Linked DNA regions of Styela clava. The protein of the gene in region 1 purifies or fractionates together with the protein of each later gene. This does not show direct contact. Links are inferred from orthologs where the notes say so. Each region holds a gene or a part of one and is shown in the gene's direction. Other genes may lie near its edges.

Evidence for each region.
Region 2: the proteins of serine/threonine-protein kinase mTOR-like (region 1) and regulatory-associated protein of mTOR-like purify together in Drosophila melanogaster (affinity purification with western blotting; 3 studies listed by BioGRID, with this or other methods). This does not show direct contact. The link is inferred for Styela clava from reciprocal best matches to the Drosophila melanogaster genes mTor and raptor.

What each region holds. Positions count from the first base shown.
Region 1 is NC_135254.1:21,272,482-21,289,039, forward strand, and holds the start of serine/threonine-protein kinase mTOR-like, read left to right. Parts: upstream 1-7,987; 5' UTR 7,988-8,113; intron 8,114-8,265; 5' UTR 8,266-8,300; coding exon 8,301-8,397; intron 8,398-9,053; coding exon 9,054-9,173; intron 9,174-9,481; coding exon 9,482-9,571; intron 9,572-10,219; coding exon 10,220-10,362; intron 10,363-10,847; exon of another isoform or gene 10,848-11,273; coding exon of another isoform or gene 11,274-11,752; intron 11,753-12,351; coding exon of another isoform or gene 12,352-12,508; intron 12,509-13,288; coding exon of another isoform or gene 13,289-13,409; intron 13,410-13,511; coding exon of another isoform or gene 13,512-13,604; intron 13,605-13,994; coding exon of another isoform or gene 13,995-14,100; intron 14,101-15,015; coding exon of another isoform or gene 15,016-15,194; intron 15,195-15,927; coding exon of another isoform or gene 15,928-16,445; exon of another isoform or gene 16,446-16,491; intron 16,492-16,558. Other genes in the region: eukaryotic translation initiation factor 2-alpha kinase 1-like, read left to right, coding at 4,803-6,920; uncharacterized protein LOC120344269, read right to left, coding at 11,274-11,752, 12,352-12,508, 13,289-13,409, 13,512-13,604, 13,995-14,100, 15,016-15,194, 15,928-16,445. UniProt on the Drosophila melanogaster protein: Promotes cell and tissue growth, maintains tissue homeostatis and controls responses to environmental stress and aging. Regulates growth during animal development by coupling growth factor signaling to nutrient availability. Central regulators of autophagy.
Region 2 is NC_135263.1:8,820,474-8,836,568, forward strand, and holds the start of regulatory-associated protein of mTOR-like, read left to right. Parts: upstream 1-10,032; 5' UTR 10,033-10,181; coding exon 10,182-10,367; intron 10,368-11,293; coding exon 11,294-11,396; intron 11,397-11,471; coding exon 11,472-11,554; intron 11,555-12,142; coding exon 12,143-12,301; intron 12,302-12,377; coding exon 12,378-12,524; intron 12,525-13,590; coding exon 13,591-13,811; intron 13,812-14,100; coding exon 14,101-14,201; intron 14,202-14,587; coding exon 14,588-14,814; intron 14,815-15,158; coding exon 15,159-15,260; intron 15,261-15,810; coding exon 15,811-16,005; intron 16,006-16,095. Other genes in the region: centrin-3-like, read right to left, coding at 7,908-8,411.

The sequences.
Region 1 (16,558 bases):
CGCCCCGTCGACGTTCAGCGAAGGCTTTGCGAGCGAAAAATGAACCATGTCGGGAGAATATGGCTAGTGTAGGTAGACAGTCTGTGCAACCGATATTGAGGTATTTTTCGAATATTTTTTATTATACCGAAAAAACAACCGAGGCATTGCCCCGGTTGGCCCTATTGACGCGCCGCCACTGGTCTGTAGTATAAATTCTAATTAATACGCTCTAAGCTAGAATCCGAGATGTAAAAACTCGAAAATACTTCGCCGAGGTCATTTTGTCTTTGTGACGTCACAATAGTCCTGCGTTACCAATGATAATTCATTATGACGAAACAATTGCACAAATGTGAATGTCATACTGAATCTCCATCTTTACGGGTTTCGGAATTCTTAAAATATAATCTGAGTTAACAGACAGGTGCGCAGCATTACATAAATACCTATTTTATAAAAATCTCAAAATCGCCAAAAATGACTTACACAATTCGGTTATTAGCGTGACGAAATGTATATTGTTCTGTCGATGTCCAGTTCTCAATCCGAATTTGCCCAAATTAATAGAACTAACAAACTAATGTTCTGCAACGGAATTTGATGAAGCAAACTGTCTAACTCTTAAGTTATCACGTCTAATGGAGGAGATGCGATTTAATGTCTTTGGTAATGGGCGATCGTATCTTGATGGCTTTATTGGACTGATACAATTCGGGTTTTCTATTCGTTGTTCTCAATTTAATTCCGGTAATTCAGGAACATGTCGGTAGGGTGGTGATATATTGAATACGAGCAGATTGTTCAGGTTCCTTTATTGCTTGGTCGGTATTGCTAGGTTGAGAGCAACACTTACTTTCGCAAAAGCGTGGGCCGTGAATTACGAGCCACACTAAAATTGAAAGAATAGTCGCTAAAATGTTCACCACGGCTAGGATAATCAGTGTATTAACGAAAATAGTACACTGCTCTTCTTCCACAAAGCTAGTCTCTTCGAGAAATAGCACGAATGATAAGAAAAATAATAAAAGTAATACCCAAGAAAACAATCGTCCCACCAAGTCCGAGAACCCAAAAAGTCGTTGAGAAAATCATATCCTGCTTGCAATCGGGATTTTTCATCAAAGTTAAGTTGACAAAAATATTGTCATATTGTGTCAGTAGAATTGATGGGTAAGTAGAGTCCTTCAAAGTTTTTATGAAGCATTCGCCGTCATGTATTGAACAGAATCCAAAATATGCGCTCCGGAAGTATTCGTACCAAGATGACGCACAGTCTGAACCACCCTAACCTGGTACACATACTATGTTCAGGTTGTGCGCCATCTTGGTACGAATACTTCAGGAGCACCCCAAAATATAAGTCAATTGTCGTCACCCACGTTCTAACAAATTTGTAACGAAGCGGGGTTTTCACGGCGATCGACAGCACTATAAAGGACCGCTAAAATACGATTGAACTGCCTTTGGAATACTGGCAATAATAATTAGCTAGTATGTTGCACCGGTATACAGCATAAGTATTCAAAAATATTAACACCGCTCCAGCGTTCACTTCTGTATCGCAAGTGTTCTGATACAAGTAAACTCAGATCAAATCATACCGCACATGTGCAGTGTGAGTGAAGCAATATATACGAAGTGAATACACCAGCAATTGAAAATACGTTATTTTTACATAATAACGTAACAAACCTACAACGTAAAAGCGGCTGTAAAAAAATCAACTTTTGGATGTGTTTTTGTGATAATAAATCAACTTTGGCGATTGCAATTAAGCAATACATCTGAGGATCGAGTTTACAGAAAGGTCGGCGTCTGATCTATACGGAATAAAGATTGTTCTTGTTTAAAAAAACAAAATTTTGGTTAAACATCGGTCCCATAGTGCTCAGAGAAAGTTTGAAAAATAAAATAAAAGTAATATTTACAGAAGTTATTGAGAATTTCATAACAAGAGAAAAAAAATTAAAATGATGATCAACAACAACAAAAATAACAAAACAATCCATAGGCCCATTTCGTGTTCGATAACAGCGTAAATATATAATACTACGGAATCTATCCCACGCGAAAACATTTCATATGGTCCGTGAGTTGCGGAGAAAATAACACCAGCTTCGTTCTATGACTATGTACCAGTGTTTGTCTGCGCTTCAGTTACTTAGGCAGGTTTCAACTGAAGTTTCGCATATATCAACTATGCAAAAATATTATTTTGTTTATACTTTAATTATTGATTAATTGTGTAAATGGGGTCGCGACCCTTGCTGAAGATTCAAGACCAAGGGCCACTTAATATTAAATAAATAAATACGGTATTATAAATCTTCAAAACCTCTGCGATCGGTTAAAAATATACGGTATTGAAGCGAAGGTGATCCAATACATTGCTGCAGTGAGTGCAAGTCTAATGCCGTGATGAAGTTGCTCTCGATACCAGTATTGAATACGGTGATTTGAGTTTAGAATATTTTTTAATTCTTTTTTGAAAACACAAACTGTTTTAATTCTTTTTTGAAAACATAACCTACAGACACAGACAGACAAGACCTAGTTTTAATATAAATACTGAAATAACTCAATACCGGTATTGTATACCTGTAGTAAAAGCGCCTAACTTCGGACAAAATTACTATATTTTCGTCAATAACTCGGCCATTTATTGTCCAAACGGTGCCAAAATTGCTCGGTAAAACATTCGTGCGGTAATTTACATTCCCTGCAAATTTCGGTTCAATTGGACTATTTTTACTATTGAAATAATCGATATTTCTTGCCATCTGACCGTTATCCTTCACTGCCCTAACTTCGGACAGTCATTTTCTTCACTGCGTAACCGCGACGCACAGAGAGAAAGAGGCTTCCGATGCGGATGCCGTAATCACGTCGTTGCGTGAAGATAAGACGCTCGTCGTCGTAACGTAACATTGGCGTCACGACGAAAATGCATTATTTGAAACTTCCGTCGTCCTATGTTTACATCTTTTGTTCGTTATTTTCGATACTTCAGATGAGTATAATAACACGTTAGTCATTTTAATCAGGAAATGCATACGTAAATATATCTGATGCAAACCGTTTCAATCCACAATGAAGTATTTTAACGGGCTTCTATCGAAGTCTTTGAAGTATTAATATTCTCGACGGATAGCTTTTTTTTATTCTGCGCGGTTATCTTTATAAATGATAATTTATATCAAACACACGGTAAATCCGATTGTAAAGTTTAATTTAAAATTCAACTTAATCTTGTAAACATGTAGGTCCCGTTTATTTGTTGGAGATTAAATTTATTTTTAATTTCGAGTGAATAAAATTCACCCAGGCCGTATTTAATAACTGTCATTTCGACTACTAATCATAAAATAATGGTTAAGTCAGTGCACTGTGCCATATGGACGTTGGAATTATCATAGTTCATTATATATTCGATATTTAACGTCATCGATTAAGTGTGACATGTATTTTCATTAATGTAATTTTGGCATATATTCATACATGACCGAACAAAATACAAAAATATTAGATTGAAACGCCGTCTTTATCTTAACGGAAATTGTCATATTGGCTCCGTTGTGTCTGGCGTCAAAATTCATTTCCGCGACGCAGTGTGACGTCGTGTCGGAAGTGAGCGAAAAATAATCTACGTGAGGTTGACGTAATTTTTGACGCTGCGTGAAATCTTAATATTCTTACGGAATTTATAATTCAGAATTTTAGATTTAATTTAAATCTCGTACGACATCTTGCGATCACTCAAATAAATTATATACATTGTTGTCGCCGTCTACCGAATGATGGTATTTTGATGACGATAGCTTCAGTTGGAGCGACGCTCTGCGCCGTTGAATGCCGGGCAGTCAATTTTCGGCAAAATTCCCGTTTTTTTACCAAAAAAATAATTATGCAACATTAAAAAAGATGAGAATAGATGTAGATATAACAGCGCAACCTATAATAATTAAAATTAGCAATATACGGCGCGTTTTAGCCAAGATATGGCCGTTCAAAAATTTTGTCCGAAGTTAGGAACTGTCCGAAGTTAGGCGCTTTTACGGTACCGTATCTCTCCACCCGCGGCTGCAGACCCGACTCCTGGACTCTTGTTTTAGATTCACCTTATCCAGTTATCCTCTTTATGTCGGCTACAAATTCAAAAGTTTTTATAGTGTTTCAAAAACTGTATTCTGGTAGAATAGTAGTCTAATGTATTCTGGGAATTGCAATATTATAGCTGTTGGAAAAAGTACAAAAGAATGTAAAACAAGTATATCAAAAATGCATATACAATACAATTTTATTTCGATTTTTTGTCTACACAACACATAACGCACACAAAAAAAACAATACACAGAAATGGCGAAAGAGACCGGGAAAATGGCCAATATGTTGATATGTTTGCAAATAAAATGCAGGGATTGTCAATAATGCAGTATCACAATGTCAAAAAGAGTATAAATTAGGGCCGTACGCTAGTACGGTACAGCAGTGAGATAGACTATAGCTAGGCATTGTTACCAAATCTGCATTTCAAGAACTGGAATAACTTTTAAAAAGCTCAATCATCTCTGACAGTACCGGTATGACTCATTTCAATATTTTAAACCTTTGTAAGCTTTGTTGAATTTAATTCAGTACGGTAATTGTTAATTGTATTTTCCCTACGAACAGAAGAATGAATATTTAAGTTGTTCATTTAGTCTTGTTGGGATCTTTTACATAATGCAGTAATGGAGATGTTCAGGAATTGCATATTTGTGGATTTCTCTATTGTCTATTCTGGCTGATAAGCTATCGTGTTACTGCTATACTGTGGAAAGATGGAGAAGTCAATACCAAACACACTTGCAATATTTCGATGCGATGCTGCACCAGTTACTGAATTTGACAATTCTGACTTGTTAGAACATAACAGTGAAACAGTATCTGGATCATCTCTGAGCTCTTCCTCATCAAAAGTAAAAAGTCAGTATGTTCCAATTATAAGGCAATCATTGTTGATTAGCTCACTTCTTGAACAATTATGCTCACTGTATGAAACTGATAAAGTGAAATCACAAAAACTTTATTTTATTCTGTGTGATCAACTCGCAAATTTGGGGATTATATCTCCCGTTGCATATTTGGAAGAATTTACGTCGGTGCATACTCAATATAAAAAAACACTGTACAACATTATACAATCATCTATCATGAAGCTAGATTCAAAGCCAGCATTTCCAGCCAACTGTGATATTACAAAACTGCTTGATCCTGGAGGACTGATGGATTGCAAACCCATCATTCCTGACCAAACAAAAGTTTTCGACTTTGATACTTCAAGGTATGGTCAAGAATTTGACGAATTGGGTAAACTGGGTTCTGGTGGTTACGGCAGTGTTTACCGTGCGCGAAGCAAGATTGATGGACAAGAGTATGCTATCAAAAAAATAGTTTTGCGCGATTCACTAGTTGGCGAGAGTGATAAAATACTGCTTAGAGAAGTGCGTATACTGGCTGGCTTGCGTCACAAAAACATTGTTCGTTATCATGGTGCTTGGATTGAGCATATTGATGTTGGAGAAGAGGTGAGAGTTCGGGGACGAAGAGATTTATTTGAGGATGTGAATAACTTACAGTGCTCAAATAATGGTTCATCTCATGATGATTCTTACTCATTTGGTGATAATGATTCAAAACCTTTTCAAAGCTTTTCCAAAAATGGTTTGAAAAAGAATAAGAAAAATAGATCTAAAATCCAATTGTCCAAGTTTTGGGGTGGCAGCAGTGCATCTGAAACAAGTGCGAGTGTTCAAAACAAAAAGATTCATTTCTCTATTTCTCCTCCTCAGTCTGATGAGGATCTTGTGTTCCAAGACTCCAAGCCTCGTCGTATTGATACGAGTTACAATGACAGATCATCAGCGGCGAATCCCGAGTCACCTCCCAAGGAAACTATCTTGACTCATGGCGTTCGAAGAGATATGAATATGCACAGAGTGAAAAGTTTTATTATTACCAAAGACTTGCCTTCTGCAGCTAATCGTGGAGATTTCACTAAACCTGTACGTACTCAGTCTTTGAGCACTTTTCAGGATCGTTTATCTACAAATTCATTAGATTTGGATTGTGTGGCAATAGGGAAAAAATCTAAAAGTTTCGTTCATTCTAATTTAAGGAAGGGAAAGCTGGTGCTTAACATTCAAATGGAACTTTGTCAGACATCTTTGAAACGCTGGCTTTCATTGAGGAATAAGAATATTTTTCATAGGAATGAAAGCTTTCATGAAGGCACATCTTTACATTGCATGAGACAAATAGTATCTGCGCTCAACTTTATTCATTCCAAAGATTTGATTCATCGAGATGTTAAACCCCACAATATATTTCTAAATTTAACTGGATATGGCAAACCTCATTTATTACTTGGAGACTTCGGTCTCGCCAAAAACAATTTTGCAAGTCCAGTTGATTCCACTGTTTTAAATCATAGTAGTCAAAATACTTTTTATATGGGTTTGCGTCGTACTGACAGTCACACTTCGGGCGTTGGTACAACATCGTATGCTGCACCAGAGCAACTTTTTGCAGATGTGTATGATGCAAAAGTTGATATGTACAGTTTCGCTATTGTTGCTTATGAATTGTGGACACCGTTTGAAACTGCAATGGAAAGAGCAAGCCATCTCAAACAATTGCGTAATCAAATTGTTCCAAGTGAATTTATTCTTAAATATCCACAGCTGGGTAAATTGTTGACTTCCTTACTGAATCATGATCCTAAAATGAGACCAAGCTCTCAAGAAATTTTTGAAGGAGACTTTTTTGAAAAATCGAAGGATAAAATCATTGACCAACAGGCTGAACGAATACACATACTTGAAACTGAAATAAGAGATTTGAAAGTTATGAACAAAAAACTTCAGAGACAGTTGAATAACAGACGTTCACCTCCATAGTGATTACTATTATATAATGATTTGTGAATATTACTGTATAATAGTAATAAAAACTATATTCTTGCCTTTCCTCCATTTAAAGAGAAATCTATAAAATATTATGTTCCTTCAGTATTCATGGTAGAATAGTAAGTAAAGTTATATAATCAGTTTTAGACTTCTTGCTTCTTAATTGTATAGGTACTTAGATATATGTTTTACTATGGAGGTGTTTTCATCCTCACCAGTCACCAGGTATATTTTTTGTGATACCTATTTTATCGAGGTGCTTCTTTCTGCTTGAGGAAAAGGTCCTATGTTACTGATGAATGTAACTTGGAAATCAAAATTATCATTAGTCTGTTTAAACGTTAATTGAAACGATTAATAAGGATAAAAGTTCAGTCCAGTCCAGTGATACATATAATGTTTTGGAATAGTTCATTACCTGTATGTCAGATCATCACTTATGTTAATATATTTTTGCATTGAAGAGATTCAACCCGATTATCGTCCACTGCCTTCTTTAATGCCCATGTTTAGATAATTTAATCAAATCAGTAGTTTTTGAAGTATAATTTTAAAATGCCTTACATGATCGTAATGTTTTCTGATGCATGTGCATTTGCAGAGATAGTAGCTGATTATTTTTTGAATATCTAAATATTATGTTTTTTTAATATCACTGTGATATGAGTGGTTCTGACAATTTATCAATATCCAAGACTTATTCGTTTACTTTGTTTTTATATTAGTTTGTGGGTTTTGTTTAAGTCAATTTGCCTTGTTTGAGAATGTGATCAAATTGGTGGGTTCAAGGAAATTGTTTTCATGGATATGGTGCAAACTTGAAGGTACCGTAATAGCTTTCCAGTTATAGCATGATGTAGTAATTGTTGTATCGCCCACATTTTTATAATATGTGAATGAAGGAATTCAAAGTGTGATATATTTCTCTTTGTTCATCTATTGAACACTACTCAATAACAGCATGGTTCCCAAGTTTTTTGTTTCATAATATATTGTAAAGAAGAACTCAGTACCTCGAATTACTATAAAATTGCAAAAATTTTGTTATATTTTTAATTTTTATGCAAGATGTATGTATGTTATCAGTCTAAACCAGATTGTTGTCATGCCGGGGATTTCTGATATCAAAGTTGGTTCTTGGATCAAGTGAAGAATATAGGACCTTGTAGATTGTAACTACCAACGTAAGAATTTTTTTTTTTTGGTGCTTCGATTTGGTTTGAATTTGCTTTCTTCTAGATTTACAAACGGGAAAGTTAATTTAAACTCTTCAATCAGGTAAATAGGAGAATCGTATAAGATTTTATGAATTCATATTTTTTTATCTCTTTTTCAGTTGGGAGAATTCGGTAGAAAGCCAACACAGAAATAATGTCTGCCGTGCAACAGTTTGTTCAAGGTCTAAAAAGCAGAAATGAGGAAACAAGACTCAACACTGCTCTATCACTTCAGCATTACATCAACACTGGTAGGTGGTTGGTGTTAGGATATCTAATATTATCTCATTTTATTGCCTCACTTCACAAAGATAAAATATATTCACTACTTGGTATTATGTGGTTGTTCAAACGTGTATCTTGGAATTTCAAACAATACTATCTAAATTACTCAGAAAAGCATTCAATATGCTATTGAATTAGAAGTATTATAATTTTTAGACGTTTGAATATACGACATATATTTGGAGTAACTTTTGATTTTGTTCTGTTTATTATTGCGTTTCCTTGCCTCTGAAACTTCTTATATTGGTTGTATATATTAATTTCTTCTTTATCTATTCAATTTGGCCCATTTTACAGCTGCGAAAACTTGTTTATTGTTTCATAAGTTTTAAGAAATTCACTAGACTCTTAGTCATTGGAAGCACAACCTGAATCCTGATCTTATTCAACATAATTTTGAATACCAAACTTTATGCTTAGTATATCACTTTTAGATTTATTTGACAACTCCGTGGTTTCCTACATTGGAGATCTGTAATTATTCTGATTCTTAAAGCTTGTGATTTGAAAATACGACTATTATTCTGAAACCTGTAAAAAACACAAATTTTAAGTCTTCAGCTATATCTACATGTTACTGTATATTTTTCTTGATGGAAAACCGACTCTTTCATTCTTGTAGAAGTACGAGAGTTGGCGAATGAACAGGCTGCAAAGTTTATGAATGAATTGAATCATCAAATATTTGAAATGATGTCAAGTTCTGATAACAATGAAAAGAAAGGAGGAATACTAGCTATAGGTAACTTTACGTGGATATATCATAGAAGTAGTAGATTTTAACTGTTTTAATTTTTTTAACTTTTCAATCAAAACTGAAATACTATAAGAAACAATAATGGCACAACAACAGTCCTTAATATTAAATTGATTGTTACTTGTACAGTAGTAGACTATTTCACCAAATATTTTCTCTCGTAATTTTTTTGCTTTCCAAGATATTTTTTGCTGATTTGAATTTGATTTTCTCTAAATGTTCATAAGCGATGTATTTTGTTACTTGATAACTGTCTTAAACATACTATTTTTTTATTTCTGTGTTGCTCTCAGTGAGTCAAATTGGAGTGGAAGACGGAACCCATTTTCCACTTTACAGAGCTGCAAATTATTTAAGAAATTTATTTCCATCCAGTGATGTCGGTAAGCGAATCTCTTACTATAATGAGATAAATATTACTAAAATTCAATTGTTTTTTAAAAAATTTCTTAAGATAACTTTCATGATGAACACTATATGATAGTATGCAAAATAATAACAAAAAAGCTATTTTGCCATATTGTTTGCCATATGAGTTTCCACTGCAAAGGTCTTTTATCAAGCAAATTCTTGGTTTGTGAAATGTAATATATCTGGAATTGGTATATAACCAATCTTATTGCTTATCTTTGTGTATATTCAATTTATTTATCATACAAAATTATAGTCTAAAATTTACAGTCTCAGAGTGATCATTTTATTAATAAAATAACTTGAAAATATACATTTTTGTACTCATACTCTACAAAATATTTTTTATATCATATATTTCATATTGAATACCGACATTTATTTTGCTTAATAATTATGGCGGACCGCACAGTTAACCCAGTGATTACTATTAACTACCGGTAACTTTTTTTAGGTTCATACCACTTCTGCCTATTTTTTTTAAAAAAGTTTTCATCTAATATAAATTTTAATGCAGCCTGATATTAATATTGCATTTGTAAATCAAGAAAAAAAAAACGAAAACCAAAAAATTCAAGTGAAAATATAAATGTGTTAATGAATAATTCTTTCATTATCAGTCGTTATGGAAATGGCTGCACAAGCACTTGGACGGTTGGCTGCAGCAGGTGGCAACCACAGAACTGAATATATTGAATTTCAAGTACGTCGAGCTATCGAATGGATTGGGGCACCAAGGAATGAAGGACGAAGACACAGCGCAGTAAGTGGAAGCTAATGTAATAAAAATATCACATTGCAGTTGTTGTAAGCCTTATTCAAGAGCCTAGTAGACCCAGTATGATGAAATGCATAAGTCTACTTTGCTTAGTAGTTATTGAATGATGTACCTTCATACTTACACTTCTTGAATTTGAATTTTCAAATGAAAATAGCAATATGCCAATCAATTTTGAACACAACAAAAGTCAGATCAACTTCATATCTTCCATATCTGTCCATCAATTTGATTAGGTATACCTTGTCCTCAACTTATTAAACTGGAAACACGATTCAAACTCTTGCATTAATATTCACCATGGTTTCAGTTTCAGAAGCAACAGCGTCATGACATTGCTAAAAACCCAAAACCATGCGTGGAAAACTCAAATCGTTGTATCTAAAATGCACTTTGTTTAGGACCCAATTTAGAGTTTTCATAACTGTTGCATCTTGTATGGAAGTAAACCCTATGACTTTAATATATTTTGGGCGTTCTGGAACAGACTCATTCCGCTTGTTTCCGAAAACATGGATTTATTTCTTATTAATAAAGGAAAATCATAGTTCATAGAAATCCTGCAATGTCAGCTATGCTTCATCGAAATTTCTGCGATTGCTTTCATTAAAACTTATGTCAGTCTTGTTATCAAATATGTTCAATCTGATATCTCCAAATAATATCTTCTTCATACAACAATGTTTTGAATTAGTTATATAATTAATTAAGATATTGCATTGGAAATTGTTTGAAACCTTTGTGTGACAATTTTATTTCTATAATGTTGAAACATAAAACAATGAAAGCTCACAAATTATGAATATTTCATTATTCAGAGTGACCATCAGACCATACCATATGTATTAACAACATTACTGATCATTAAATACAGTTTGAAGAAATTCTTATTTTGGTCATGTCTTGGATTTATGATATTCATCCATAAGTCCTTTTATACTCGCGTCAAGTTCAGAATATTCTGATTTTATTCTGTTCACTTGAACATTAGCTGCCCATGATGATCCAATAGATCGAATAAATATTGCTGCATTTGTACAAATTTGCATTTCAACTAACGATAACACATCTTGAGTGTCATCTTCCAGCAGAGAACACATGCTTTCTGGTGCATTACGCTCTCCGTGATAATAGTTTTTTTTCCACACCTTTATTATATCTTCACCCGAATATACCGGGATTTCCTCTTTGTATTCATATATTTTTAAGTTTGATCTATATTCATTTGCTTGTCCTTGTTTTGAAAGGGGTGACGATATATATATCCCACTTAGTTTGAGGGATTTCTTGGTCTTTGCAATTTTTTCCAACATTTTATTGATGATATTTCGTAGCGTATTCATATCAACATCATCTCCTGAGGTTCCGTCATTACCTGAAATTGAATAAACCTTTAGCTGGGATAGATGACATTGTCGTGGTATTTTTATTGTTTCAGGCATTGACATTAAAACTTATTATTAGATATAAACAACTGGTATATTATATTAATAAAACATTTTAAATATATATGCATTAGACCTAGTGATATCTTGTTATAAAAAAAATTATTTGGTCATCAAGGTAGAAGCCGTAGAACATCATCAAAATTGAATATGCTTATCTCCCAAATATTTATATCAGAATAGTGGAGCACGATGTAAAAATTTTGTTTTGGAATATTCAAAATGTTAAAGCCAAATCTGTGAAAATGCAGTATTTGAACTCAAAGCCATATTCATTATTAGGCGCTCCAGAAATATGTGTACCAATAGGTAGGTAACTCTTTTTGTTTGCCTATTTTACATCAAGTGTAAAGGGACTGAAAGCTATGGGCTATAAGGGTATATTCACTTGGCTAACACAGACAGTCCTTGAACTCGTAATAGAACTAAAACAAGGAAAATAGGAATAAAATTATGCCCTAACCCTAACCTGGTACACATACTATGGGAGTACCCATTATTGTGATATCTCCATTTTCATTCATCTTACCTGTTGAATGCTTGTGGTAGTTCAGGCACATATAATTGTATATCCCTCCACCTATTTCTTGTGCATTCATTAAATCTTCCGTTATCTCAGTTGCAAGGGAATGCACAAATGCAGGGGGTTGAGTATAGTACCAGATTGCTGAATATACAACTTCATCCTAAATAATCACAAAAAATTTAAAAGTACCGTACTTTTAAGCCCAATTTTGTCACAATCTATTCGTTAGTTTGATTCATACAAAAGTTTCATAGAATCAAGGTCGTTTGGAACATATTCTAGACCAGGGGTTCCCAAGCTTTTTCCAGGACGACCCCAAAGACAACTTTCAAGTGTCCAGTGCGACCCCTGGTCAATATATATATTTTTTATGAAACTTTAGAGCTTCTTTCACTGGACTTTTGAGTTTGGTCATGTGGTGGTATTAAGTAAAATAAGCTAAAACCAAACAGTGATGTCACAATAAATACCTACATTTTCTATAGCATAAGCATAGAGCGATGCCAATGGGCCTGTTTTACAGTAAGCCATGGTACAAACTGCAAAATTTAACATGGTTTGTCAAATCTTAGATGTTTTTTACATCCATCCTCTATCATACCTCAGCGACCCCTGTGACCTGTTTGCGACCCTACCTACTTATCACTTCGACCCAATTTGGGGTCGCGACCCATGGTTTGGGAACCCCTGTTCTAGACTCTAGAGAGAACATGACTTTTGTGCAAAATGTTTTAGATTACTGAAACTTAGTTACAATCATACACGAACAGAGGTCCAAGTGAATTTACTTCATTTTCATAAAAGCCATTAAGAAATTTATGAGTTTAGTTTTTTGAGTCACCCTGTATATTATATGAAGTCAACCTTGGATCTTTTTATAACGACCAATAGTTATATTGGTTATAATTTATATGGCGGCTACAAAATAATAAAGTTTTACCTTCATTTTGAAAATATTCATTTTATGATTTGGTAACTTCAATGTTTTCCGAAGAAATAACTGAACATCAAATAATGATAGAGGAAATGGATGAACTGCACACTTGTATCTGTCAGTCTCTCTGAAAAAGAAATATTTTTTTTATTAACTATTGGACTGCTAATCTCTTGAGTACTTGAATAATATACCAAAATATAGAATAAAGTTAACATTATAAGCATACTTTGGATATGTATCTGCCAAATCTCTAGGTATGATGCTGATTCTATCTCCTTTCTTTAAACCTTTCGGATAAGTTGGAATGCTGAATTTTACTCTGAAAAAAAGAAAAAATTTCAAATGGTTTCAAGTAAAAACTTGTTTGTGTCTGCTATGTAATATCAACAATCTTCTATAATATTTGTTATTACCTTGCCTGGTCAATATCATACGATGAAACCAACCTGAGTACATATAGGTATTTTTGTGACGATATATTATCCTTGTTTCACAATTGGTTTGAACAGAGGCACGGTATTTTAAAATATCTATTAAGTTGTGAATAAGCAATCAACGATTCGACCAATATTAATTGTATGTATAAGATAGCATTATTAGCATTAGTACTGTAACCAGTTTTTTAAGATTTGCCTCATTTTTTTGAGCTTCTCAGTTCTCAAGTTACACTTGGACAATCAAAATTCATAACATATTCAATAATACATACTTGAAATCTGTCTCTACAGACGTGTTGAGTGTATTGAGCATTGTCATTTGAACTTCTGATTGTGCTTTAAGCAGAGTTGCCACTCCAGGAGAGACGTCGGTGTGACCTTTTATATAAATGATATATTTTAGAAGTACTTTTGATTGACACCTTGATTGCTTTGGCAGTGCATGACATGAAGTTTGACTTTGATTGTAATCTGATTCCTCATTATTTTCAATAATGCACTATCAGGAATGTCAAAACTGATTTACTATTGTTTCTTGTACCTTTTATAATTCATTATTTGGTAATCCTATACTAAAGATAGGCGTTCCAACCCAAACTAAACCAAACTCACATCTTGGACATCAGAGCTAAATTATTTTATAGGATTCAATAAAACAAACCATATAATGCATGAAATAGTTTTTTGATTCCATTTTAGACTGGTCCATACCGAAAAAAATTTGAAACAGATCTCATTGACAATTGACAAATTGATTTAGAATTTTCAGTAATTTCTCGTTATTACAATGTTTGTCGTGTATTTTTTTGTGGCCCAATAACCAAAACATGCTAGTCATACTATACTATGCACAAAAAACCTAATCTTAACCATTTAATAATGAGTCTTTTTGAATCTTCTTATTTTTTACCTTTATTCAACTCCGAAAGACTTATAGTCACAAGTAAGAGCAATCAATAAACAAATCTCTTGAGTTAGTCATTGGACATGAACTCACTAAACCCAGTCAGTGGAAAATTGAATAGTGGCCCAGTTTTTAAGATTTAATAATAAAAGCACTTGGTCCAGTAGTTCAAAAGCAGAATTTTTTGTCACATACCGGTAAATACCAAGATATACACCTCAACAACTATTTCTCGAAACACAATCCATACGTCATCTTTATATGCAACAAAATATGATGTTTAGGTTCTAAACTAGTTTTATGAGAGTTCCAGCAGACTAAATTGGATTGGTGAAAAATAGAACCTAATAATTACAGCCTTACTATATGATATAAAGTTGATGATGTACCTGTCAATAATGCCACGTCAAATTTTCCATCACATTTTCTCTGTAATTCATCCACAGATATAACAGAAACAAATCTTCTGAGTATTTCAATGTTTAATTTCAATGATGCTGGAAGGTTTGGGTTGTATTGTGATACTCCGCCATAATTGTGATTATGAAAATATGGAATAGCCAGAGTCCTAGGCAGAATTGAGACAAGTGATAAATTATATGAAAAATAAACTTTAGGATTTCTTTGTTTCTATGGAACATGTATATACATCAGAAATCTGAATAGTTCAATAATATAATTTTGCCTTACAAATAGTTTCTTTTTGAGTGTTTCAAAATGACTCTATTTTATTGCAAAATTATGATCTATACTAGTCATTCTCATCCAATACGCCCCTTTCCAAAGACAGTCAAAACTTGTGCCTCTTGAGCCGTATTTAATAGCCTAATAAACAAGCCAAGAAATGGAAGTAAAAGAATAAATTCATTACAGTCGAAGAATCGCAGTCAGTTTACTTCAAATTAATTTAGTAATCACAAATTATATCTTGTGAAGGTCTTCAATTGTGAGGGGACAAGACCCCAGTTTTAGAAACTCTGATCTATAGCCTACTGTATTTTATTTTATGAAATTTAAGAACTAATGAAAGAACATATTCAACTACAATTCAACTAGTATATCAGATGTGTATTTTCATTAATTCTCAATTAATATTAATCAAAGTTGGCCAACAGACTGTAAATTGAATAGTATTTAAGACAATGTGTGTGTCAACAAGTGTCGACCAATATTGTAAAATCTGCCAATAACTGTCGTATTCTAATATTTGACGTTGTCAGCTGTCACTGTCATTTACAGATCATCTTAATAGCAAAGAAAATATTTTAATTCATATAGCAGATTAACATGTACATGCATACCTGTTCAATCTTATTGCAAGAAGAATAGCTTGTCTCAAACCAATCATTTGATCAATTGGTTCATTCTTTAGTATTGGATATAGGAATTTATTCGGATTCAGCTGAAATCTAGGAACAATTTTATATCCCCAGTCAACCGATGGTTGCATTCCCAATTCACATGGTACTGGACTGTAATCCTTGCCTGATATATGTGCTGGCTTAACTGCTCTGCCTTCCAATGCATATTCTGGACTTCTACGTTTGCCTGGTATTTGAACATTTGTCAGTTGACCTTGTTTTTGTAGATATTCCAAGTTTTGGATGATTGTGTTGAGTTTTTCTGCATATGCATCATTTTTCTCTGCTTTCTGAGGTTTGGGTTGTGATATATTTTTTGTCTGTTGAACCCAAGCGACCCCTTGCCTTGCGTAACCAGAAAAGACATCCTTGTATACTTCAAAAAGAAGAATAGCTACGAGGACTAATGATAATTTTGCTAGCCATCTTTGCCAGTGCACAAGACTTCCCGAAGCCATTCTCACGTTATATATTGAATTACATTGTTAACCTGAAAAAGTGAAGTAACAAATAAACTATGATATATAGTTTAAAAATAATTATGCCTATGTATACCTGTGGTAAACTATAC
Region 2 (16,095 bases), on another chromosome or scaffold:
TTGCCAACTCTATTGGTCGTACAAGCTATACGATCTGACAGGCAATATGTGGATAATCGAAGTCGCAACAAATGGAATCTATGGAATTAAAAATTGTGGCGCAGACCGATCTCAGCTCACGTCAATCCAACGAGAGCATGTTTCACAATAGCGGTTAACTAGGGACACCGACTTACTGATTCTCTTTTTAATAGTGGCTGATCCGCTATTTTATTCACTGTTTCTATTTTCCTTAACTCACGCGTCTTTCCCCTTGACTTTTGATTGCATTTACATTATACTTTTAGTGATATCGTTCTAGCACTTTTTAGTGTTTCAAAACTTTTATAACAAAAGTTTACATAGTTCTCGGCACACTTATCGGCTAGAGACATTTAACCACATTGATAAAAGCACAATTTTTGTTCTTAAATAAACATTGCACTTGATTGGCAGTATACATTATATTTTGCAGCTGTTTTAAAAACCAAACCTGGTGTCAAATAAGGAATGTACGAGGGAGTTCACACACATGGCAATCGGGACCATAACCCTTCTCACACCGTCTATCTATTCTATACTGTTTCTGACGGTGCAGCCTTGAGAGTGAAAATGCCGCTAAACACAAACATGAGTTACTATGGAGCTCCTTCTAGGATCGGACAACGTTTACAAAAAAACTACATGAGACGTAAATTTATATATATATAACGTGCAAAAAAAATTTAGTAGTATAGGAAGATTACGTATAGGGTCAATGGTCGGGAAAACATCCATTACGTGCCATGTGTTTGGCAAATTTGGAACTTTTCCTTTAAGGTACAACTAACCAATGTTTTGCAGATTAAAATATTTTTAGAAAATGTTTGTCATTAAGAATATTTTTTTCCGTTTATTAAATGTATTGAAATCTCAGTACTCCACAATAGTGGAAGTATTAATAAAATAGCATTGTATTGGTGCCTGAGTTGCCAAAGATCAGTCAATCCGGCGACATTCATTTTGGCCGAGGCATAATAATATGTTGCTGATTGGAAACGCGCTATTGGTTCGAACTCCAGCTATCGGTTCATCCATATTCAAAATATAATTATTTGTTTCTTTCGCGCTTCGACTTTTCATGAATTTTTTAGCGTCTGCTGACCCGTAAACTACTGCATTTATGTGCGGAAGGAAGCTCGTGGTTGATGGTTTAAATTTATTTGTGTGTTAGTTTTGTTCAGTACATATATATATACAGATAGAAATCCCGACGCAAATGGACGTGGGTAAAATATGTAAGCGCAAACCTGCAAATACGGAACAGTTGGGTTGAAAATGCGCTTTATCGCAAATAATACGGCTATTTTTATGTCAGCAATATTCAGTAAATCAACTATTTTGACAAGACGTTTATCGGCGACATCTTTATTTACGTGTGGAACCTTATTTACGGTCTTTTATTAACGATAATTCTATCAACTAAGCTGCTTCTACACTATTATCTTTATATTTCTTCAACCTTTGTTACAGTCTTAAACCAACCTGCACTGCCCATAGAAGGTATGAATCGATAAACTCAGTTAAGCAATTTCCTACAAGTTTTCCATTGATTTTCTTTCACGCTCGCCAACCATGTTCTCGTTGCGTCGCGGTAAATTTCTTGCCGATTACTGCTATCTACAAATCTGTATTCATTGGGTTGAGATCACAGCTGGAACGTACCAAACAGCAGCGCTGTATGCATATCGTATACATGGTACAACTTGGTGAAATTAACATATTCAGAATCACCCTACTCTCGTCTGCGTCGATAATCGCATAATTCGCCTTCAGCGAATTTGTGTCAACTCGAAATTGAGATTGCAACAGATTAGATTATAATTTTTTGTCTCGATATTTTGTTATTAATTTTTTGTCTTGATATTTTATATTTTTCACTCTTTTCCAGATAAGTGATTCGATTTTCTTTATAGATGAGGCGATATTGTTACGACATACATATTAATCAAATGCCCATATAAAGCATTAACTTCTACTTGGTAAATGTATCGTGCGAATGTATCAATAAACCATATAGTTATGTATTCGTGATAACGTAATCGAAGAGATATTTCGTAGTTGTTAGCGCCAATGATTTAATATCGTGTTAATTTCGTATTAACAGCTCAGTGTCAAAATTTAACATAACGTCAAAGGTTTGTTTCATACCATGAAAACTAAGCAAGTTTTTGAAAATCTGGATGTCAGTTGAATACATGGAAATAATTTCGTCTTGTCGAAGTTATTGCAAATCATTCCCTTCACTCCCACAGCTCTCTCATGGGACTTCAATTTTCAACCGTGTCGTGGAGTACTTTATACAGCATGACAAGGATTTCGAAACTTCAAAAATATTCCCATTTTATATGCGTGGTTTGGCTTTGAGATTTACATATATATATATACGTACAGTATACACCATGTTTCTCCGAAAACAAGACCTACCCTGAAGTTAAGACCCAGCCTGAATTTCACGGATGATTTTAATATAAGACCTAGTGGTCAATAGCGCGAATTTTTTTTTTACCTAGTCGATAGCAAGAAATCTCCTCCACACGTTTCAAATGATTAATCTCAAACGTGTGAAACAGGAAAACGTATCATTTAAGATAAGTAAATGGATATCGGTTTTCGTATTCCTCATATTTGAAAATTCGTAATTCTCTACTTTGTAGTTTTGTTTTTGATGAATGAAAATAAAAAACATCCTCCGAAAATAAGCCCTAGTGTTATTTTTTCGAAAGAAAATTGAAATAAGACAATCATTGTCTTATTTCCGGGGAAACACGGTATATATATATCGGCATCGGTCATTTTTTTGCTATCGGTATCGGGTAGACCGAGATTTTCGATATATTCTGCCCTCTGGTCTGATCCAACATGTTTTAAGGAATATATTAGTATACGAATGCTGATAACTGAAATCATTTTTTTGCGGTGAAGCATGTTCGCGTTCCACCCTCGCGACTAGAAACGGGTATAATGACGTCACGATATCAGGTACCACGAGATTTTATTACTTTTCAATGTTTATAAATTCCTTCGATTATATTCTCTTATAAATAAAATTTATAGTTTAAGCAGATTTAAAGGAAATATACACAACGCTGATTATGGCGGCCTAATGTATTCAAAAACGTGTATACGTAAATGTAATGTAATTGAAAATGAAATATATTTATAAAAACGCCACAGTGGATTTTCCGCGTTGTACCATATACTAAATTTTTACACTGAAATTATTAAGTAGAAATGCACTTGATTGTTGGATGTTTTGTACAAATCCCTACCAAAAATACGGTACTCCTGAAGTATGCACACCAAGATGTCGCATAACCTGAACTGAACATCCTGAGTTCAGGATGTACGCCATCTTGGTGCGCATACTTCAGGAGGTCCAAAAATACTCCCCGACAACGCTTAAAATAACAAAATTAATATTTATCCAGTCAGAGTTAGGAATACATATTGCAATTGAAATTTTTGCATCGTTCCTACCCTTACCGGGATAATACCTAGGTTTTTTTATTTTAAAAGTGGCGTGGGTGTTTTCCTCAAATCTCACATTTTTGCATTAGTGACGGGAGCTTTGTACAAAAGTTTCCATGTTTCAAGCTATTTATCATCCAAACTATATCAATTGATTTGTCTATTTTCGATACCAAAATTGTGTTATTTACATTTTGAACAATAGCAATAGGTAATTAATAATTATGAAGGAAAATAACGATCAAATGTCACAGAGAATTTTCTCGTTGCCTGAAATACAAAACAGAATCGTATTGATACAAAATCCAGCGTACGCCACTATATGTATTGGTTTCATAGTAGGGGTAAACATTTATTCGTTATACCAGTTATAGTGGACAACCAGCTATGATCTTTTTATCAACCGAAACACGATATTCCCAGCGCCCGTGGACAACAAACGTCTGCAGAACGTATGGGCATTTTAATAAACCATCAGTGGTGATTCCATATTTATTTATGCATCTGAATCAGAAATATCGATTTTTCATGCTCTGAAATATATATCTAATATCTTTCCAAGTTCACACTCAGGAAGATTGTATATACGTCGATGATAATTACATATTATCTAGGCTTACCATAAATCTGAAACAAAAAACCGGGACGGTGCGATTTGGCAAACATTCGGTTGATTGCCAGTCTTTGTAATATTGAAACGTCTCCCATGCCATTGCGGCTGTAAATCTCTATACTGATTATTGAATTAGAAAAAACACAAAAAAATAGTTTGTATTATTTATTTAGACCAAAAGTATTTGTTCGCAGATGGAACCCTTCTCAAAAATTCTTGTTTTGATTTTGTCATAAAACTGATAACAAGAGACATCACCATTAAATTTGCAGGTTACGAGTGCTTTTATATTTTCTTCTGGCATTCTGAACCTGCTTCCAGACCAGAAATCTGTTCAACAGATGCCGATGTTCCGGCAAACAAAATCAACGAGTTTCTGCAAATTCGAAATGCTAATATTTCTGTTAGAAAAAACGTTAAACATCTCTGTCCACTTAAATTCAACCGCAAAGTAAGACAAATTGCATTTGAACCATGCTCAGATAAATATCTCTATATCAGTATTCGTCGAAAAGGGCATCTCTATTCAAAACCAGACTAGCTAACCGAACATATCATTTATTAATTTTGCATACCAAACACTTTAGTCCAGTTTAAATCACCCTTCGAATTTGTTCATATGTGGGGCCTGGGGAGCATTGTAGGCTTCATCATGCAGCCATATATACCGCAAACATTCTTTTTAAATACAGTTACGTCGATTTCGCCAGAGCGTTCCAAGGATTCCAGAAGTACAAGTGAATGCGACGGAATTAAAAGACCCCACCCTTTTTCCTTCAAATTTAGCTTCACCTCTGACATCTACGGTAGGGGTCGGCAACCTTTTGTCGCTCGTGGGACAAAATTAAGGGTTGCGAGTCATTGGCGGGCCGTACATATTTTTAGAAAGCTGAAACCGAACGGATGATACTTTTTATAATAAAAATCAAGCAGTAATACATCTTTCGAATAGAATATAGATTTATTTCCTCCTTGCATCGCAAAAAATTGCATTTGAATATTTTCAGCGCCGTTGAACCCTTTGAACTTCGCATCATTTTTCTGCGTTTTGTTGCCATTTGCCTAATTATAATTAAATTATAGGCTCATTAAACGAGTAGTGGTGTATTATATACTTGTTAGGTTATAATATAATTTAGTTTAAAAAATATAATCGTCAAAACGGCTGTTTTGTTACTTTAATTTAGTGAAGCGTCACGAGCCGGATTATAATATTCTGCGGGCCGGATCCGGCCCTGGAACCGTAAGTTGCCGACCCCTGATCTACGGCATTAGTATTATCTTTTTTCAAAATTAAAATAATTTTGTTGAAGTAGGTGAGCTGGCAAAGGATAATTTTCAAGTGAAGTTCGTACGCTGGAACATTCAAGCATAAGAGTAGGACATCCTTTTTGAGAATTTGAATAACTTATCAAGCTTTCAAACAGTTCCGTAATTCTTTGCAAAGCAGGTAATAAAGGGAAAACCCGAGTGTTGCCATGCTGTAATAGCCGTTGATTCTCACTATCAACAAAATTGCAGAATGATTTCTCCTCTGTTACTCGGACAGTGTAAATGTAATAATATTTATATATACATTTTGACAACAACACAAACAGGCAAAGTATCTACGACATGTTGAAAATGGCATCGCAGTGCACTGTTGAACTACATGGTACGCACAATCTATACCGGTTATATTTCTTTTAATTTGAAAAAAAAGCATTATTTGTTTTTCGTCTTTTTACGCCTCCAAAGTTGATGTTGCAATTATCCACACAGAATCCAACAACTTTTCCGAGAAAAGAGAGCAAGTATTCAGTAAAAGTTTTGGCGGTTTCCCTGGGTAAAGATTTGAATTCTAATAGTTTTATCTTCACACCAACATCAGGTAAAAAAATAACGAACCACAACTGGAACAAGCTTTAAATTCTTTCTGTTTGATGCATCGAAGGTTACTGATACGAAACTGGTTTAAAGTAAATCATCATTAGGTTCAGAGGAGAACAGCGGAACAATTCAATTAAAAATCATCGACTATCATTTATTTCTGGTTAAACGTGCAAAATCAGCAAATCCGCTTATCAGACAGCGGACATCAGAAATTCTAACTGTGTATATTTACAAGTTAATGCAAATTTAGGCTAAAAAAAATTGAAATCAATTCAGAGGTGCAGTCAAAACTTTGTGTGATAGGCAAATGTCGGCTGCCAACGACAAAGAATCATCCGAATTTGTTATCGCAAAAAATTGGTCAGTCGAGTCGATGCCTCAATTAATGTTTTGGGCTTCCTGCTTTGGATATGATCGTTGACATCAGAACGACCGTCTTGACTAATAGAAAAACAGATCTGCAATGCGTACAGTGTACCTTCCCTCCTTCCGTTTGCGCAAAATCTCCTTTCAACTCATTAGAAAATTTGTACTTCTTTTATGGCATTTCGACAACTTAACGGCATTGTAGTTAACGCCAGAAAACGCATTAAAACATATACCGATTGTGACATAACAATAGAGCATTTTTTACTCTCTGAACTAGCGAAGTGTGTCGCAAAACAGTGGTAAATGGGCTGCCACCGTTAAAAAAAATTGTAACAATAAGGAATATGAATTTTTCACCCATGACAGCCGTGCTGACAAACCGGGACATTTGAGTCAACCGGCCGGGACAGCTCGTCAAAACCGGGACGTATGGTAAGCCTAATATTATCGGCAATCTGAAATATCGGCGTTTTGTTGGTATCGACGAAAATAGTGATAACGGTACATATTCAGTTTGGACTCATATATTTGATTCGATATTTGATTAATTAATTTAAAAGAATTAATTTGATAAGTGTCTAGATTGGTTGGGGACACCCGTCGCCCGATGACTGCTTTCGATAAGTCGACCAGGGCGAACAACATTTGTGACAGCTTCGATTGGTGCTTATTTACAGCTTAGCCTTAAGAGTGATGCACCAATTTCAAAAATAATTTTATTCACAGACGTATATTCAAGTACTAATATGCAAACAAATATATCAAAAATGACTGAATCAACCATCTTTTCATCTCCCTAAATTACACAAAAAAATGAAAAATTGACAACAAAACAACAAGCTTTGTAAAATTAGCTGGGGCAACAAAAAATAAGCAGCAATAGAGTAATAGATTATATAAATGTATTAATGAGGATTGTCACAAATGCTGAAATATATTGGTTTTGAATGAGACAATGCCCGAGAAGTACCTACTTATTTTATATATCCGGTCTTCTCCTGTGAAGATGATTTGTATCAGTTAATAAAACAACATAGAAAACTATACATAATAAAGTTGTGTGAAGAAACATTGTGTAAATTGCTGTCGCAAAAATATTTAAAAAAAATATGCTACTTACAGCCTTCTACCTGGATTATAAAATGTACTGAATGAATTAGGATTGAATATTTCCTTGCCAATGAATTTTGTTCCGCTCAAAAATAGATACTATTGCAAAGTGAATTTATAATAATGATATAAAAAGTATACTGATGAAAAGGGTGGATTGTATGCAAAGCATAGTGCAAATGATGATGGAGTTTTAACATATACTTCGGAGCAAATATCTCAACTAATATTTAGAGAATTATCAATATTTTTTATGGTCCAAAGTCTCTGTTCAAAATTAAGAAGATATTCCCCCGTGCTATATAGTCAGATAATTCCAACCAAAATCCCCAAAACAACTACATATATACATTTTTAATCAGATGCTATTCTAGAACTTTTCCAAATAAATTTTTTCTCCAAAGGAAGATATGTTTGTACTCAATATTTTGATAGTTTTAAAGCTTGAATTGTTTCACGTATCACCAGTCATAATCGCAATAAAATCTTCCAGGTTAATTTCGCCGTCACCATCAGTATCAAATTCATCAATCATGGCTCTCAATTCATCATCTGTCATATTTTCACCAAGTTCTCTAGCAACTCTACGTAGATTTCTTAATGATATTTTACCACTGTCATCATCGTCAAAGAGTTTAAAAGCTTTTGTCAACTCTTCCTGGGGATCTCTTTCAAGAATTAAGTCTGTCATGACATCATTGTAATCATCAAAACTGATTTTTCCAGTTTCTTCTCTGTCATTTTCTCGCAAAATTTTCAAGACGTCAGCTTTTTTTACTTCAAACCCTAATGCTCTCATTGCGACCTTGAGTTCGTGATAATCTATAAATTTATCCTTGTCTGTGTCAAATAATTCGAAAGCCTCTTTAATTTCTTGTTTCTGTTCCTCTGAAATCTCCCTCCGCTTTTTTCGTTTGGATTTTTCCAGTCCAAAATCTCCACGTAGAGACAAACTCATCTTGAAATTATTTTTTTAATATTAATTCTATAAAAGGCAATTATGAAGAAAAAAAAATGATTAGATTTTTTTTGTCAGGAACATAAATTCAGAACAGGCAGCATTGGATAAAACAGAGATAAGTGATTGCTGTTTTTATTTGTTTAATTACTATATATGGTAAATACGAGTACTGCCTTGACATATAATACATTTTTTTGTAACCATATTTTATATCTACTAATGGTAACTTAAAACACAATAATAGGCTAATCAAATGTCTTCTAGTAGTAAAAAACTCAAAAGTCTAATAAAACACAATATTGGCATTAAAATGGCACAAAAGTCTAGCATTAAATATTTTTTTAAATTTTTTAACAGTATTTTCAATGAATCAAAATATAAACAGTTCTGCAGTTCATAAATAGATGACTCAGAAGTTCATGTTCTTTTCCACATACAGACATAATACACACAAATCATTTCCTGCGAGATTTCTTATTCGTGACTTTGTTTATATTGGTAATATATCTCACATTAACTTGTGATTGAAAGTTTTCATATAGTTTGTCAGCCTATTGTTGTGAATATTTTTACATGAACTAATCCTGGGGCAACCCTAAAATGCGGGAAACGGGAAATGCACTAAAATGCGGGAACTGCGGGAACGACGGGAAATTGCAAAAACTAAAATGCGGGAACTACGGGAAATTTCACTAAAAAGCGGGAAATTTCACAAAAAGCGGGAATGACGGGAAATCGCTTTAAGGTACGGGAAATATTCATGCAGAAAAAATAAACTATCACTAGCCATAGAATTACAGTAGTTTCATGTTTTCCTTCTTTTATATTTGTACTACCGTACATGTATTATGTTTTCTAAAAAATCTAATAGGATTACGGTACCGGTACTCTATACAAGGACAAAAGCTATGCAAGCATGTATGGCCAGGAAAGTCTAATCCCAGAACAGCAGAAGTTGTCGTCCAATGCTGTATTCAACAAATGCAATATCAATATTGTTGTGAGAATCAATAATAATTACATATAGTCTACATACCTTTTCTATTCCAAACTCAGCGCTAGAATTGCAAAGTATTATAAAAGTTCAAACGGAACCGACAAAACAAAAACACAATCAAGTCAAAACTGACGGTTAGTGGCGGTGTTCAAATTCACAAGGTGGCAGCATTGAGCAAAAATATTCGTGAAAGCTTTGTCATGATATTCAGTTAACCATGCTAACTATATTCAGTTAACCATGGTGCGGCGTTCATTGTATGTGTGTATGTTAATTTGTCTCACTGTTTAACAGCGTCTGTATAATAAATAAACATAAAGATGTCAGATGTGTTGTGACATTCTCATATTCTCGGCGTATAAAGTCATTAGTAAAGCTATAAAATCACAAGTATTGTCAAATCTAATTTGTCTCAATATGGATGTCGTTCTTTTACAAAATTACGTACGATTATGATGATATGTGATTAATATCATTGCAGTCTTGGATTTCTATTCAGATCCCAGCGATTCATATGAAAATCCTATCCATTCAATAATTACACATATGCTATCGACCAAAACTTGCAATGAAACTGATATTACAGAATTCAAAATACAGATTTAGAAGTTAAGATTGATTATTTTGCAGACCTCTCCTTTTTTGTATCTGTGCAGCTGTGGCTTTGCAGCTTTTGTAGGGCTGAAGCCAAAATTGTTATACCGAATGTCTACATTCTTCCATTCCTTTACTAGAGTTTTATAGTAAATTGATCAGCTTGGTTGAAGACTATGTTGGGTCGAGGGATTGAAAAGGATGAAGAAAAAGAGGGGGAGACTGTAGATGAGGATGCTGAGATTCTTCATAATATGATGGAAGCAGGATGGAATTTACCTCTGGCATTTCAACAAAAAAGACACTTGGAAAGCATCACAAGTTCAAAGCCAGTCACACAAACATGGAGAATGAAAGAAAGGGTAATTGTTTAATTTTGTTGATAGAGGTGCGTTTTATTATATGATGTTTTGTAGGTGTTTCTGTTGTATATTATAACTGTCAATTTTGTTCATTATTATTTAATGATAATTGTATTATTTCATCCAATGTTGCATTTTTGTGAAACATGTATGCATATCTATTCATGTAGATCGAATGTTGAAATGTATATTCAAATTAAATTAAGCATTGTATCAAAATTTGTGTTTTCTTATATAAAACCCTTCAGCGGAATATTTACTTAGTATGGAAGATATTCACTCAATTGTGATGTTACTGGAATAATATTATTATTTGAATAGTTGAGAATTGGTTTTATAGAAATTCTATTAAATGCAACTATTACTTTAAATATAAATATTAATTTGCTATGTATTAATGTTCTTTCAACTAATTCCTTTAACAATAACTGAGTTATTATTATTCACATTATAAACATATAAATAAAAATTTCAAATAAAACAGTACACATTTTTCATTACAAGTATAAACACTCTAATACAGCGGTTCTCGGCCGGGGGCCCATGGCCCTGTAAATTGGCCACAGAGCAGGGCGCAAAACTGATTTTACTTTTCCCTTGACAAGAAAACTTCCTGTTGTTCCTAGTTTCATTGCTTGGAAATGTTATTTCACATGGTAGATTCATTTTGTTGAACATGAATTGTTTGAACATAATGGGATTTGGAATCTACCCATCAAAGTAACACTATAAATACCACTGGAATGATAAACAGGGGGCCATGAGTGCTGAAAGCTTTCGGAAGGGGGCCACGAGCCATCAAAGGTTGGGAAACACTGCTCTATTGCAATCATTGTATAATATGGGCATGCATTTTTTTAGCAAGGGATTGATTGGTGATTTTATCTCAGTACTATATTCAATAGTAGCACATTTTATATTTTTAGATGAAGACTGTCAGCGTTGCACTTGTTCTATGTTTAAATGTTGGTGTCGATCCTCCAGATGTTGTGAAAACAACACCTTGTGCCAGACAAGAATGTTGGATAGGTTTGTTTAATTAAAATACTTTGTTTATTGTAATAAAGGACTTGAATTATATATAATTTGTTTCTTTTATTATAGATCCATCTAACTACACACCTCAAAAAGCATTGGAAGCAATCGGAAATAATTTGCAAAAGCAGTATGAAAGATGGCAATCAAGAGTATGATGTTTGAATATTATACTTTGAAAACTTAAAATATTAATAAATAGGTTGACCAAATCTCAGACTGAGATCAATGATCAGTGTTGGATGAGATTTACTTGCCATTCAGACAGACCCAGGAACTCTATTAATAGGATAGTTGACATTCTGTTAGTATTTTAGTCTCTGTATCTGCATTCATTTTACTACAGGGTTTCTCAAATAGGGCTCTCGGCCCCCCAACGAGTGGTTCTCTCGGGCCACAAGCAGGGCCTAAATAGATTGACTGTGATTTTACTATAATGCATTTACTTTCTTTTGTTGAATTTTTTAATATTAAACATGGAACATAAAATAACTGATCAAAATGTAACTTCAAAATTTGGTATTTTTATAGAGATGCAGGGGGCCATGGATTGTGAAAGTTTAAGAATTACTGTTTTAATACACCCCCCTGTCTTATCATTTTGTATAGAGTTTTAATGTATTGATATATATTTCGCTGACCAGATTGTAACATAAAAATTATAAGTCACCTATGGTAAGACAATATATATTCATTCACTTAGTATATTACAAAACAGTTATGTATTTATTATTTTGTAGGCTCGTTACAAACAAACTCTAGATCCGACAGTTGAAGATGTCAAAAGATTATGTACTTCATTGCGAAGAAATTCTAAAGAAGAAAGAGTTTTATTTCATTATAATGGCCATGGCGTTCCGAAGCCAACTGTTAATGGTGAAATTTGGGTATTCAACAAGGTACTTCTTTTTCCTAATACATGTTTAGCATTATCATAGCAAAAAGAATTAATTAATAATTGTATATTATTTTTAGACATATACTCAATATATTCCGCTATCAATTTATGATCTTCAAACATGGATGGGAACGCCATCAATATTTGTCTATGATTGTTCAAATTCTGGTGTTATTGTCAACTCTTTCAAAATGTTTGCAAAACAAAGGGAGAAAGACATGCAGGTATGAATTCTATATAGTATTGCCAATCATTGAAAAACGACTCTCGACTTTTATTCAACAAATTTGAATCCCATCTCCTGACTTTAGATTGGGGGGCATCTTGACTACCTAATCGTTCCTTCCTCAACGCTATTTTCTTTAACCCTTTTTTTCCGCTGTATACAATCGACTTTATGTACCATTTTATAATATGTAATGACCAGTTAACCAAACGTACAAGGAACACCCCCAATATCTCTTTAAAAAGCTTATTTTCGCGTCTTCCTACTAAAACGCGCCCAAATGACGTAGGCGAAACCGTTCGACCCTACGCGTGTAAGAAGAGAGAAATTTCAAAAAATTTTGAGAGAACGTTTCACACTCTTATCGCTTCGATGAACACGTGTTACAAAGAAACGAAATTCCAAGCGCTCTTCTGAAAGAGAGTTACGTCACCTTTGCAGAAAAACCAGACTCAGCTTCGCAAGCGAAGCGAAACGCGAAATAATCAATGTTATGTGAGAGCATGTCCACGATAGTTGTCTGGAATCTTTGTTTGTTTATTATGTGCGCGAAATTGTTTCCCGCTTGTTCAAATGACTTATTTTTGAAGTAATGACAAATACTTTCGTGTATCTCTAAGCTTTGAAATACCTACACAAAAAAAATTCACTTAGTAGTAAAATAAAAAATTTACAAAAAAACAAAATGTTGACAGATCAAGCACGGATCATAGTTGGATGCTCAAAATGATTTAGTTAGTGCGGAATACTTCACAAAACATGAACATAAACGTAAAATAGTCCGAAAATAATTATTATGACCAAGGATGGTAGTACGAATATATATGTCATACGGAACAAAAGAGTTAATGGTCTCTTAAGAATGCATAATATACCTAACTTTTTTAGTTTCCATCTGAAATTCTTGCTATTGAATTAGAAGTCGCAATTTTGAAGAATCTGTAATTTTAGCAACAGCATACTCAAGTCCCAAAGTCTAACTCCCTGATTCGGACGACTCAGTTCTGCCTAGTTCCTAACTCGATTATTCCAGCACTGATAACAATAAAAATTTCTTTCAACAGATCAATGGTATTCATCCAATCGGGCCAAGCATGTCTGATGCTAAAAACTGCATCCAGCTTGCTGCTTGTTCAGAATCTCAACTCTTGCCAATGAATCCAGAACTTCCTGCTGACCTTTTTACTTCCTGCTTGACTACTCCAATCAAAATTGCACTTCAGTGGTTTTGCCTTCAGAAACATGGCTCCCTGGTGCCCTCAGTAACTCTGTCATTGATTGAGAAGTATGTATTTATTAGAATTACAGCTTTTTATTATTGGACGAATGTGAAAAAGAGATTCGAAAGTCAGAATTTTTTAATATACATTCTCTATCGAGTAAAATAGGGACAGAGTGGAACAAGTGGAAAATCTCTAAAATATCTTGCCGAAGTATTGTACACTTTCTCGAACAAGTTGATTTCACGCTCCTTTATTAAAAAAAAAATAGTGTCCAAATCTTTTGTGTGCAATATCTATAATAGGTCTTCGTTACAAGTAAAAAAAAAAAAAAAACTTTCATTTGTTTTCAAGGATTCCAGGAAGACTGAATGACAGAAGAACTCCACTTGGTGAATTGAATTGGATATTTACAGCCATTACTGATACTATTGCATGGAACACTTTGCCAAGAGGTAAATACAGACAACCCTGGTGATATGTAGCAGGCCTAGTTTTTCTATTTGCCTCCATGATATGATCTTATGCTTATCTTAGCTAGTTATTTTTGAGGTGAAGCGCGAGACTTGACAAATTCTAAAAAGGACGACCTAAAAAGTTTGAGAACCACAGTTCTTAAGTATACAAAAGTATTGCTGCACACTGAAAATAATGTATTTCTGTAATGTTTTTGGCCGTTCGAAGCCAGACATTGTCAGACAAACATTTGCACACTTATGATTGTATGTAGCAAGACTCTATTTCATCATATAAAGTCTTGAGACTTATCGTAAAAATTCTGTTTTATATGACCTATCCATATTCATAGTAGAATAAAATTGAATCAAACTCATTTTTCCAGATTTGTTCCAAAAATTATTTCGTCAAGACCTACTCGTTGCTAGTTTGTTTCGCAATTTCCTACTCGCTGAGAGGATCATGCGTTCATATCACTGCACTCCAGTTTCCCATCCACCTCTGCCCCCTACATTTCGACATCCTATGTGGGCAGCATGGGACCATGCTGTGGATATTTGCCTCTCTCAATTGCCCGCTATGCTTGAGGAAGCCAGTAACTACCAGTTTCAGGTTTGCTATACATTGAAATCATGAAATTTATGCATTTTCATATGAATATATAGTGTTCTTGAGACTGGAAAAAGATGGTACAAAAAGTTATTTATACGCTTTCTGTTTTAATTAATATTATGATTTTGTATTCTGTTGATTCCACTCTTTTAAATATGTGGAATTATTTTGGTAGTCTAACTACTTTATCTTAGATGTAGTTTACTATGAGTAAGTTTGTTACCAAGAAGTCATTCATACAGTAATAATATGGTAAGTTTCACCCAGGCTTTAGAAATGAGACCTACTGTAAGTCTGATATTTTTATAACCACAAATAAATAAATGAAAGTTTTGTATTTTCAGCATAGTCCATTTTTCGCCCAGCATCTGACAGCATTTCAAGTATGGCTGAGGTTGGGAGTTGAAGAGCGCGAACCTCCGGAACAACTGCCTATTGTTCTTCAGGTTTGTTTTAACCCCTTTTGTTTGAATAAAGGATATTATTGTTATTTGTATAAGGAAACACTAACTTTTATTATTTATTGTGCGATACTTCAGTTCTCCCTGTAGGTCAAAAATGAAATTTTCTATTGCTCGTGGAAAATAAAACGATGAAGGGTAATATTGAATAAATTTATTATCATTCTTAATTGAATTAAGGTTGGAGATGTAAATGAAATACCATTATGTATTTTATTTTTTTATTTTATTTTTTTACCATTATTTATTTTTACAATACTTCATTGCACTTTGTTTATTAATTTCTTGACTTGTGAAATGTAGGATATGCCTTAGGACGATTAATGCCAAGAAGGCCAGTTAGGGCATGGTAATAGCTATTAGCTACTGAATTTAATTGTTTCTTATATATTTGACATAGACATGGCAGATAAGAATACAATATAAAACAAACTGGCACAGTTACACCAATATTTTTTCCATTGACTTCAACTACTATACTTAAAGACGTATTGCTATTTTTCTTATTTGAAATAACTGCATTATTTATTCCTAGGTTCTTCTTAGTCAAGTTCACAGATTGCGAGCACTTGAACTTCTTGGTAGTTTCCTTGATCTTGGACCATGGGCTGTCAGCTTGGCATTATCAGTTGGAATTTTTCCATATGTATTGAAGCTTCTGCAAAGTTTGGCGAAAGAACTACGACCTCTGCTCGTTTTTATCTGGGCAAAAATTTTAGCTGTTGATTGTGTGAGTAACTTCATAGTATTCATGATCTATCGCCAGAATGAAAATGTATAAATGTTGCGATTCAGTTTTTATATCTGTGAAGTTTCACAA